2 linked regions of the Xenopus tropicalis genome follow. The protein of the gene in region 1 purifies or fractionates together with the protein of each later gene. This does not show direct contact. Links are inferred from orthologs where the notes say so. Each region holds a gene or a part of one and is shown in the gene's direction. Other genes may lie near its edges.

Region 1 (3,500 bases):
TGTCGCACCAAAGCACAGAACATCAGTGGTAGCACCAATGTTACCCTCCTTCCTCCACCCTTGTGGATCGCTTCTGCTCTCCTGTGTGTGAACTTACAGCAAGACAGGGGTAGGTGAGCAGGGAGTCTATGAAGGTTTCATTTTTCCCATAACTGCGCCCTAGGCAGCTGCCTACCCCTAGTTCCAGCCCTAGTGAAGGTGTTTGAGGATGTTGACATAAAGGCAGATGTTCTAGTATTTAAATACAAAATTATTATTTCTAATTGTATGACCTGTCTGGGGAAGCCTGGCACATTAACCAAGGTTAATGTAAATAACACATGAAATACAGACACCAACTTGATTGCTTTATTTTTTTTATTCATTTAGCATTCGTCTGAAAAGTCTCAATGCCAATACAGATATTTCCTCTCTTGCACGGAAAGTGGTGGATGAATGCAAACTTATTCACCCATCTAAACTTGCAGAAGTGGAGCAGCTGCTTTATTACCTCCAGAACCGTAGAGAGGGATTGCAAAGTAAAGGTAAGATCTGCAAAACTGATAGTGGCTCCTTCGTCACAGTTTTATGAACCTTTGAAGTGTAGAGTCTGCCTGTGTAATTAGTTTGATTCCCTATCTGATTCCTGGGGGTTTATTTATTAATTTTTAAAAAAAGTGCACACATCCTCCATTCATCTAGAACTTTCAAAGTTTTCAATATAGCTTCACAATTAAAGGAACAGTAACACCAAAAAATGAAAGAGCTTTAAAGTAATAAAAATATAATGCACTGTTGCCCTGCACTGGTAAAACTGGTGTGTTTGTTACAGTAACACTACTATAATTTATATAATAAGCTGCTGTGTAGCCACGGGGGCAGCCACTCAAGCTGGAAAAAAGGAGAAAAGGCACAGGTTACATAGCAGATAACAGATAAGTTCTGTAGAATACAATAATGTTTTATCTGTTATCTGCTATGTGCCTGTGCCTTTTCTCCTTTGAATGGCTGCCTCCATGGCTACATAGCAGCTTATTTATATAAATTATAGTAGACTTTCTGAAGTAAACACACAACTTTTACCAGTGCAGGGCAGCAGCACATTATATTTTAGTTACTTTTATACACTTTCATTTTTTGGTGTTACTGTTCCTTTAAGAGCAAGGCCAAAGAGACACTGGCATTTTGTATAAAGTGTAGTGAGGGCTGCATTTGTCAGCATGAGCAAGAATGCACAGCTAAGAGAAAACCTTACTTTCATTCATTAAAATCCTTTTAGCTTTTTGTTCAGTAGCTATTCAGTTTGGAATTTCAGCAGCTATCTGGTTGCTAGGGTACAAATTATCCTAGCAAATTATCCTATCCTAGGCCTGAATATAAAGAAAAGTGATAAAAAGTAGCAATAACAATAAAAATGTAGCCTCACAGAGCAATAGTTTTTTGGCTACTGGGGTCAGTGACCCCCATTTGACAGCTGGAAACATTCAGAAGAAGTAGGCAAATAATTCAAAAACTATAAAAATGAAGACCTTTTGAAAGGTTGCTAAGAATTATCCATTCTACAACATAATTCGTTAATTAAGGTGAACTACCCTTTTAACAAACAGGCCACAAGGACTTCATGCTTTTGTTACATAACCTGATTCTGTACTGGACTAAGTGCACACATACATGTGTTATAGAATATAGTGCAAATTGTTGCTTATCTGCATTCTTTTTGTTACAATAACATACTTTATGCACTTTTTTTGCTTGCACTTTGTTTTAACAATAAAAAAAAAAAAACCCTCAGCTTTCTGCTCTGTGTGCTGTAGGTAGTATATGTAATAATGTCTCAGAGACTATAAAACCAGTATTCTTTGGTTTTCCTCTCACGGGCAAAACATGGGTTCATTATGTTCTTTACAATGCTATTATTGGTTATTGTGTTTTGGGGTATTATCCGAAAGGATTTCACCTATAAATTTTTAGTCCAGGTGGTCTGGCTTTATTCTCTATCTGGAGCTTACAAGTAAGCTATTTGATGTGCTTTTAAAATTGTAATAGATGCAGCCTGCATTTTGTTCAAAATAATAATAATGTAAGTATTTGCTAGGCTTTCTGTTTTTTTTTATGGAATGCTTGGCAGAATTCAAGACTCTTCAGTCTTTTCTCTAAGCTTTTAATAACAATAACACTAAAAAAAAGGTTTAATATTAACTGAGCGCACTAATGCTTCCCAAAGAGCTGCTTCAATAGAATTCTCCTCTTTTTTTTATGTATTGTCATTTAATGTCTCCTAGTTAAAACCAGCTGGGAAACGCTCACAGGTTGAAATGTTTTGCTGAATAACTAGTATTTTTTTATGTGATATTTCTAAATTCCTATATTTGTGTGTTCTTCCCCTCGAAGTGCAAAGTCTTTCTCGGTTAAACCCATACTTTGTTTTCAAGGCTGTTTTTACCACTTCGCACGAGCTTAATGTAAGCCAGTGTTTCATTTCCTGCTCAGTATCATCCAGTCCAGCGGGTGACGATGCTCTGACTTAGTTGCTGCTATAAAGCCAACACTGGGAAAGAACAGTAACATTTTTGTAAGATGAGCTGAAGAAAAATACCGTGATGAAATGTCATCCTGCTTTTGGTTAGCATTAAACGAAAAGGGTGATATTTTATTAAATGTTTTCACGGCAGTGTAAATGTCACAGACACGGTTTGAAATAATATTTGGGACAAAAAAGGAAAGGCCAACTAAGCCTGTAATAGGAACACAGAAAATGTTTAGCAGAGTTAAGGAACCAATATAATATCCTAGTGCAGAAGCAAGTTGTGGAATTATGTTCTGTGCCTTTGGGCGGATTGAAAGGTTCCCATAGCATTGTGACTGAAGCCACTGCAATACACAGGGATTAAATGTGTCTGTGGTTTCTGACCTCTTTATGAATGTAACTGTTTGGAAACAGCTGTGCTGTCCATCTTTTCACAAGCAGTGGGAATGTTATCCAACAAAGCTAAAAAAAAAAATGTTTCTGGACCAAATTATGGGAAAATGAAGTGACAGCAGTAGAGCCCATGGGCAGGCTAAGAAACATAACATGACTTGGGACACAAACTGGCCAGCGCTGGTATTCCCTATGCCCTGTGATGGCTTGCATGTTATGTGTGAATTGTCTAAGATCAATGCCCTTTGTTTGTTTAAACATAAATAAGGAACACAGGAGAGAGGCAAACGTACCAAAGAATGTTAGCGTTAGAGCTATGTATGTAATTTGACCATTCTGGCTTAACAGATCTCCATACAGGATTTAAAACAATCATATATTTCACTATTTTTTAGTTTATTTTTATTATATAATGGATACAGGAAAGGGATCTGTTATGCTGAAACCCGTTATCCAGAACGCTCCAAATTAGGGGACGGCTGTCTCCCATAGACTCCATTATAAACAAATAATTCTTCTTTTTGAAATGATTTCCCTTTCCGTGACAAATAGCTGCTGCTAGTAGCTCCATGTGTCTTCTCCCTAAAACTAACTTTTAGTA
Region 2 (4,072 bases), on another chromosome or scaffold:
GTGAGTGCTTATTTGTGCCCTGGGTACCCCTGGAACTATAGCGGGGTGACTGTTACCCCAATGTTTCTATATATCTGTAACCTTGTTATGGGCTAAGGGGGCCCAGCCTGAAGGCCAGTTAGGGGGGGGATTTGGGGTGAGTGCTTATTTGTGCCCTGGGTACCCCTGGAACTATAGCAGGGTGACTGTTACCCCAATGTTTCTATATATCTGTAACCTTGTTATGGGCTAAGGGGGCCCAGCCTGAAGGCCAGTTAGGGGGGGATTTGGGGTGAGTGCTTATTTGTGCCCTGGGTACCCCTGGAACTATAGCAGGGTGACTGTTACCCCAATGTTTCTATATATCTGTAACCTTGTTATGGGCTAAGGGGGCCCAGCCTGAAGGCCAGTTAGGGGGGGGATTTGGGGTGAATGCTTATTTGTGCCCTGGGTACCCCTGGAACTATAGCGGGGTGACTGTTACCCCAATGTTTCTATATATCTGTAACCTTGTTATGGGCTAAGGGGGCCCAGCCTGAAGGCCAGTTGGGGGGGGATTTGGGGTGGGTGCTTATTTGTGCCCTGGGTACCCCTGGAACTATAGCAGGGTGACTCTTACCCCAATGTTTCTATATATCTGTAACCTTGTTATGGGCTAAGGGGGCCCAGCCTGAAGGCCAGTTAGGGGGGGATTTGGGGTGAGTGCTTATTTGTGCCCTGGGTACCCCTGGAACTATAGCAGGGTGACTGTTACCCCAATGTTTCTATATATCTGTAACCTTGTTATGGGCTAAGGGGGCCCAGCCTGAAGGCCAGTTAGGGGGAGATTTGGGGTGAGTGCTTATTTGTGCCCTGGGTACCCCTGGAACTATAGCAGGGTGACTGTTACCCCAATGTTTCTATATATCTGTAACCTTGTTACACTAATTATTATGTATTCTATGTATTCTAATTCTATTTAGGTATGTAGCCAGCCCAAATGCTCTATTTCCATTGTACATATCATTGCCAGGGACTCACACTTACTACCAATAAAATCCTACAATCTCTATTTAGCATTGCTCTTTTAATGTCTCACATTTTGCTTGGCTGTAAGGGGATTCTGGGAGTTGCTATGCCTGTCAGCCAATCACTGGCCTGTTTTGTTTTTTCTGAATCTCTGCAGAATAAGAGCCTTAGTGGCACGTCTGCCACACTCACCAAGCGGCTGAGAACTACAAGCCCCAGAATTCCTGTGCAGGATAACATCTCTGTGGGGAGTGAGCTCAGCCGGTGGGCAGGCTCCGATGGGGAAGCATTAGCTGAGCATTGTGTCCTATCTGGCTGTTTTCCTGCACAGCAAAGCAGTCAGTAGAGGCATCTGCCCCCCACCCTCTCCGAGCACCACAGCATCATTGTGAGACCCCGCCTCATCCCCTGTCCTTGTTTTTGCCTGTCATTCTCACACACAGAACAGCCGCACTGCAATGAATGAGCATCTACAGCTGAGGAACAGCCAAGGCGTTTCCAGATGCCTCCCAGGAACCTGGCACAGGATTTGTCTCCGGCTCTGACTACCCACACACCGGGGGCACTTGGTACATTTCCTTATTTACCCCCTTGCTGCAGATCCCCGTCCTTTCCCGTACAAGCTAGAACGGCTCCTGTGTATCTCATGGGGGCTGCGCAATGAAGCTCCTGCAATTTCTAAGGAGATGCCACCAGGGGATTATTCCGCCCAGTAAATCCTTCTGTTCAGGAAAGCAAAGGTGAGAAGGGGAGGATTGAAAAATCCTTGCACCGGGGCGTCTGTGGGTTCTGAGGTGTGTCTGTGGGTTTGCGTTGCCTTGGGATAAACAAAAGCACCAGACGGGAGCAAAAAGGAGAGTCAAGATGTGCAGCAAAGCTAAGAGTAGCGAGGCGCTGAAGGTGGTGGTACGATGCCGCCCTACCAACAGGAAAGAGGAGGCAGCTGGCTACGAGGGCATTGTTGATATGGATATTAAACTGGGCCAAGTGACTATGAGGCATCCAAGGGCAAATCCAGGGGAACTGGCAAAGACGTTCACATTCGATGCCGTATACGATGCCAGCTCGAAGCAGGCGGACCTGTACGATGAGACAGTTAGGCCTCTTATTGACTCGGTGCTGCAGGGGTTCAACGGGACCATATTTGCTTACGGGCAGACCGGCACCGGAAAGACCTACACTATGCAAGGTGTTTGGGCCGAGCCTGAGAAAAGAGGGGTGATCCCTAATACTTTTGACCATATTTTCACTCACATCTCCCGCTCCCAAAACCAGCAATATTTGGTGAGGGCGTCTTACCTCGAAATCTACCAGGAGGAGATCAGAGACCTTTTGTGCAAAGACCAGAATAGGAAGCTCGAACTCAAGGAGAATCCCGAGACCGGAGTTTACATCAAGGACCTCTCGTCTTTTGTGACAAAGAACGTCAAGGAGATCGAACATGTCATGAATTTGGGCAACCAGTCACGGTCCGTGGCCTGCACATATATGAACGAGTACAGCTCAAGGTCCCACACCATTTTTGTCATCACGGTGGAGTGCAGCGAAATTGGAGTGGATGGGGAAGAGCATATCCGAGTGGGGAAACTCAACCTGGTGGACTTAGCTGGCAGTGAGAGACAAAGCAAAACAGGAATAAATGGTGACAGGCCTAAAGAAGCTTCAAAAATTAACCTCTCACTTTCAGCGCTGGGTAATGTGATCTCTGCACTGGTTGATGGCAGAAGCACCCATATTCCTTACAGAGACTCCAAACTCACCCGCTTGCTTCAGGATTCTCTGGGCGGCAATGCAAAAACCATTATGGTGGCAACTTTAGGGCCGGCTTCGGTCAATTACGACGAGACCTTGTCCACCCTCAGATTTGCCAATAGGGCCAAGAACATCAAGAACAAGCCTAGAATCAACGAGGACCCAAAGGACACATTGTTGAGGGAGTTCCAAGAGGAAATCGCTCGACTAAAAGCCCAGCTGGAGAAACGAGGGATGCTGAGTAAGAAGAGAAGAAGGAACAGCCGCAGAAAAAAGTCTGTGGATGGAGACGGCACTCCAGATACGGAGGCAGAAGAAGACAATGAAGACAAGCTCATCGAGAAGAACGTAGGAAGTTACCTGAAGGAGCAGGCAGAGAGGATTGAGCAGGAGAAGGCCGCCATCCAAGATGATCACAGTCTATTGGCAGAGGAGAAACTGAAGCTGATAGAAGAGAAGGAGAAGATGATGGATGATCTGACCAAGGAGCAGAAAGCTACAGAGCTGCTGGCTGTGAAATTCAAGGTAAGTTGCACTCATTCCACTGGGAGAAACACTTGTTTACTTGCTCAGATGGAGCCGAACCATTGAGGAGGGGGGAGATCAGCCTGCAGTGCTCTAATTGATGTTGAGCTACGAGTACCAGTGTCATTATCAGCCTTCCGCTGTCAGTGGGATGTTGGTAGTTGTAGTCCAACAACATTCCAATGGCTGCTGGTTGAACATCCATGGTGTATATAAGGTGGCCACCTCACCCCTTCAATACTGGCCACATATTGATTCCACGTTTTGCACGGCTAATTAGCAATTAATTTAGATACCTGCTGCATGGCTGCACATAAATCAGTTCAGTCTGCAGCGTGCATTGAAATGAATTGCTAATTAGCCATGTAGGATGTGGGTTTAATATGCGGCCGGGGTGAGGTAGCAACCCTAGTGTATAGTATAATGCAACCCTCTAGTAAAGAAGGTCTGCTTTCCCGTTACTATCGGCCACATATAAAACCCACAATGCATGCTGCAGATTGCACTGGTTTCTAGGCAGCCATGCACCTTAATGGATTGTGTGCACAGCTGTGGCCCCTTAATAACGGGTAAACAGTGATCTTAATCAGGACAATAATAATAAAATAATAATAAGATGATGTTAAATAACCCAGTGCCATTGGGGTCACCCACTATTTCATGTTACCATTTAGTGGGAAGAGATTATCACCCTACAGCTGATGGGGTGAGAGGATGCCTCTGCCTTCTCTTACAACACAGGGCTAATGTATAACTCAAAAAGGTTATCTTTACCTCTGGGGCTTGGGGGTATGTATATTGTAGTAAG

Evidence for each region. The genes of interacting proteins can lie anywhere in the genome.
Region 2: the proteins of kifap3 (region 1) and kif3c purify together in Homo sapiens (co-immunoprecipitation; 3 studies listed by BioGRID and IntAct, counting the BioPlex papers as one, with this or other methods). This does not show direct contact. The link is inferred for Xenopus tropicalis from reciprocal best matches to the Homo sapiens genes KIFAP3 and KIF3C.

Annotation. Positions count from the first base shown.
Region 1 is NC_030680.2:118,547,055-118,550,554, forward strand, and holds part of kifap3 (kinesin-associated protein 3), read left to right. Parts: intron 1-369; coding exon 370-524; intron 525-3,500. UniProt on the Homo sapiens protein: Involved in tethering the chromosomes to the spindle pole and in chromosome movement. Binds to the tail domain of the KIF3A/KIF3B heterodimer to form a heterotrimeric KIF3 complex and may regulate the membrane binding of this complex.
Region 2 is NC_030681.2:154,245,938-154,250,009, reverse strand, and holds the start of kif3c (kinesin-like protein KIF3C), read left to right. Parts: upstream 1-1,272; 5' UTR 1,273-1,851; coding exon 1,852-3,264; intron 3,265-4,072.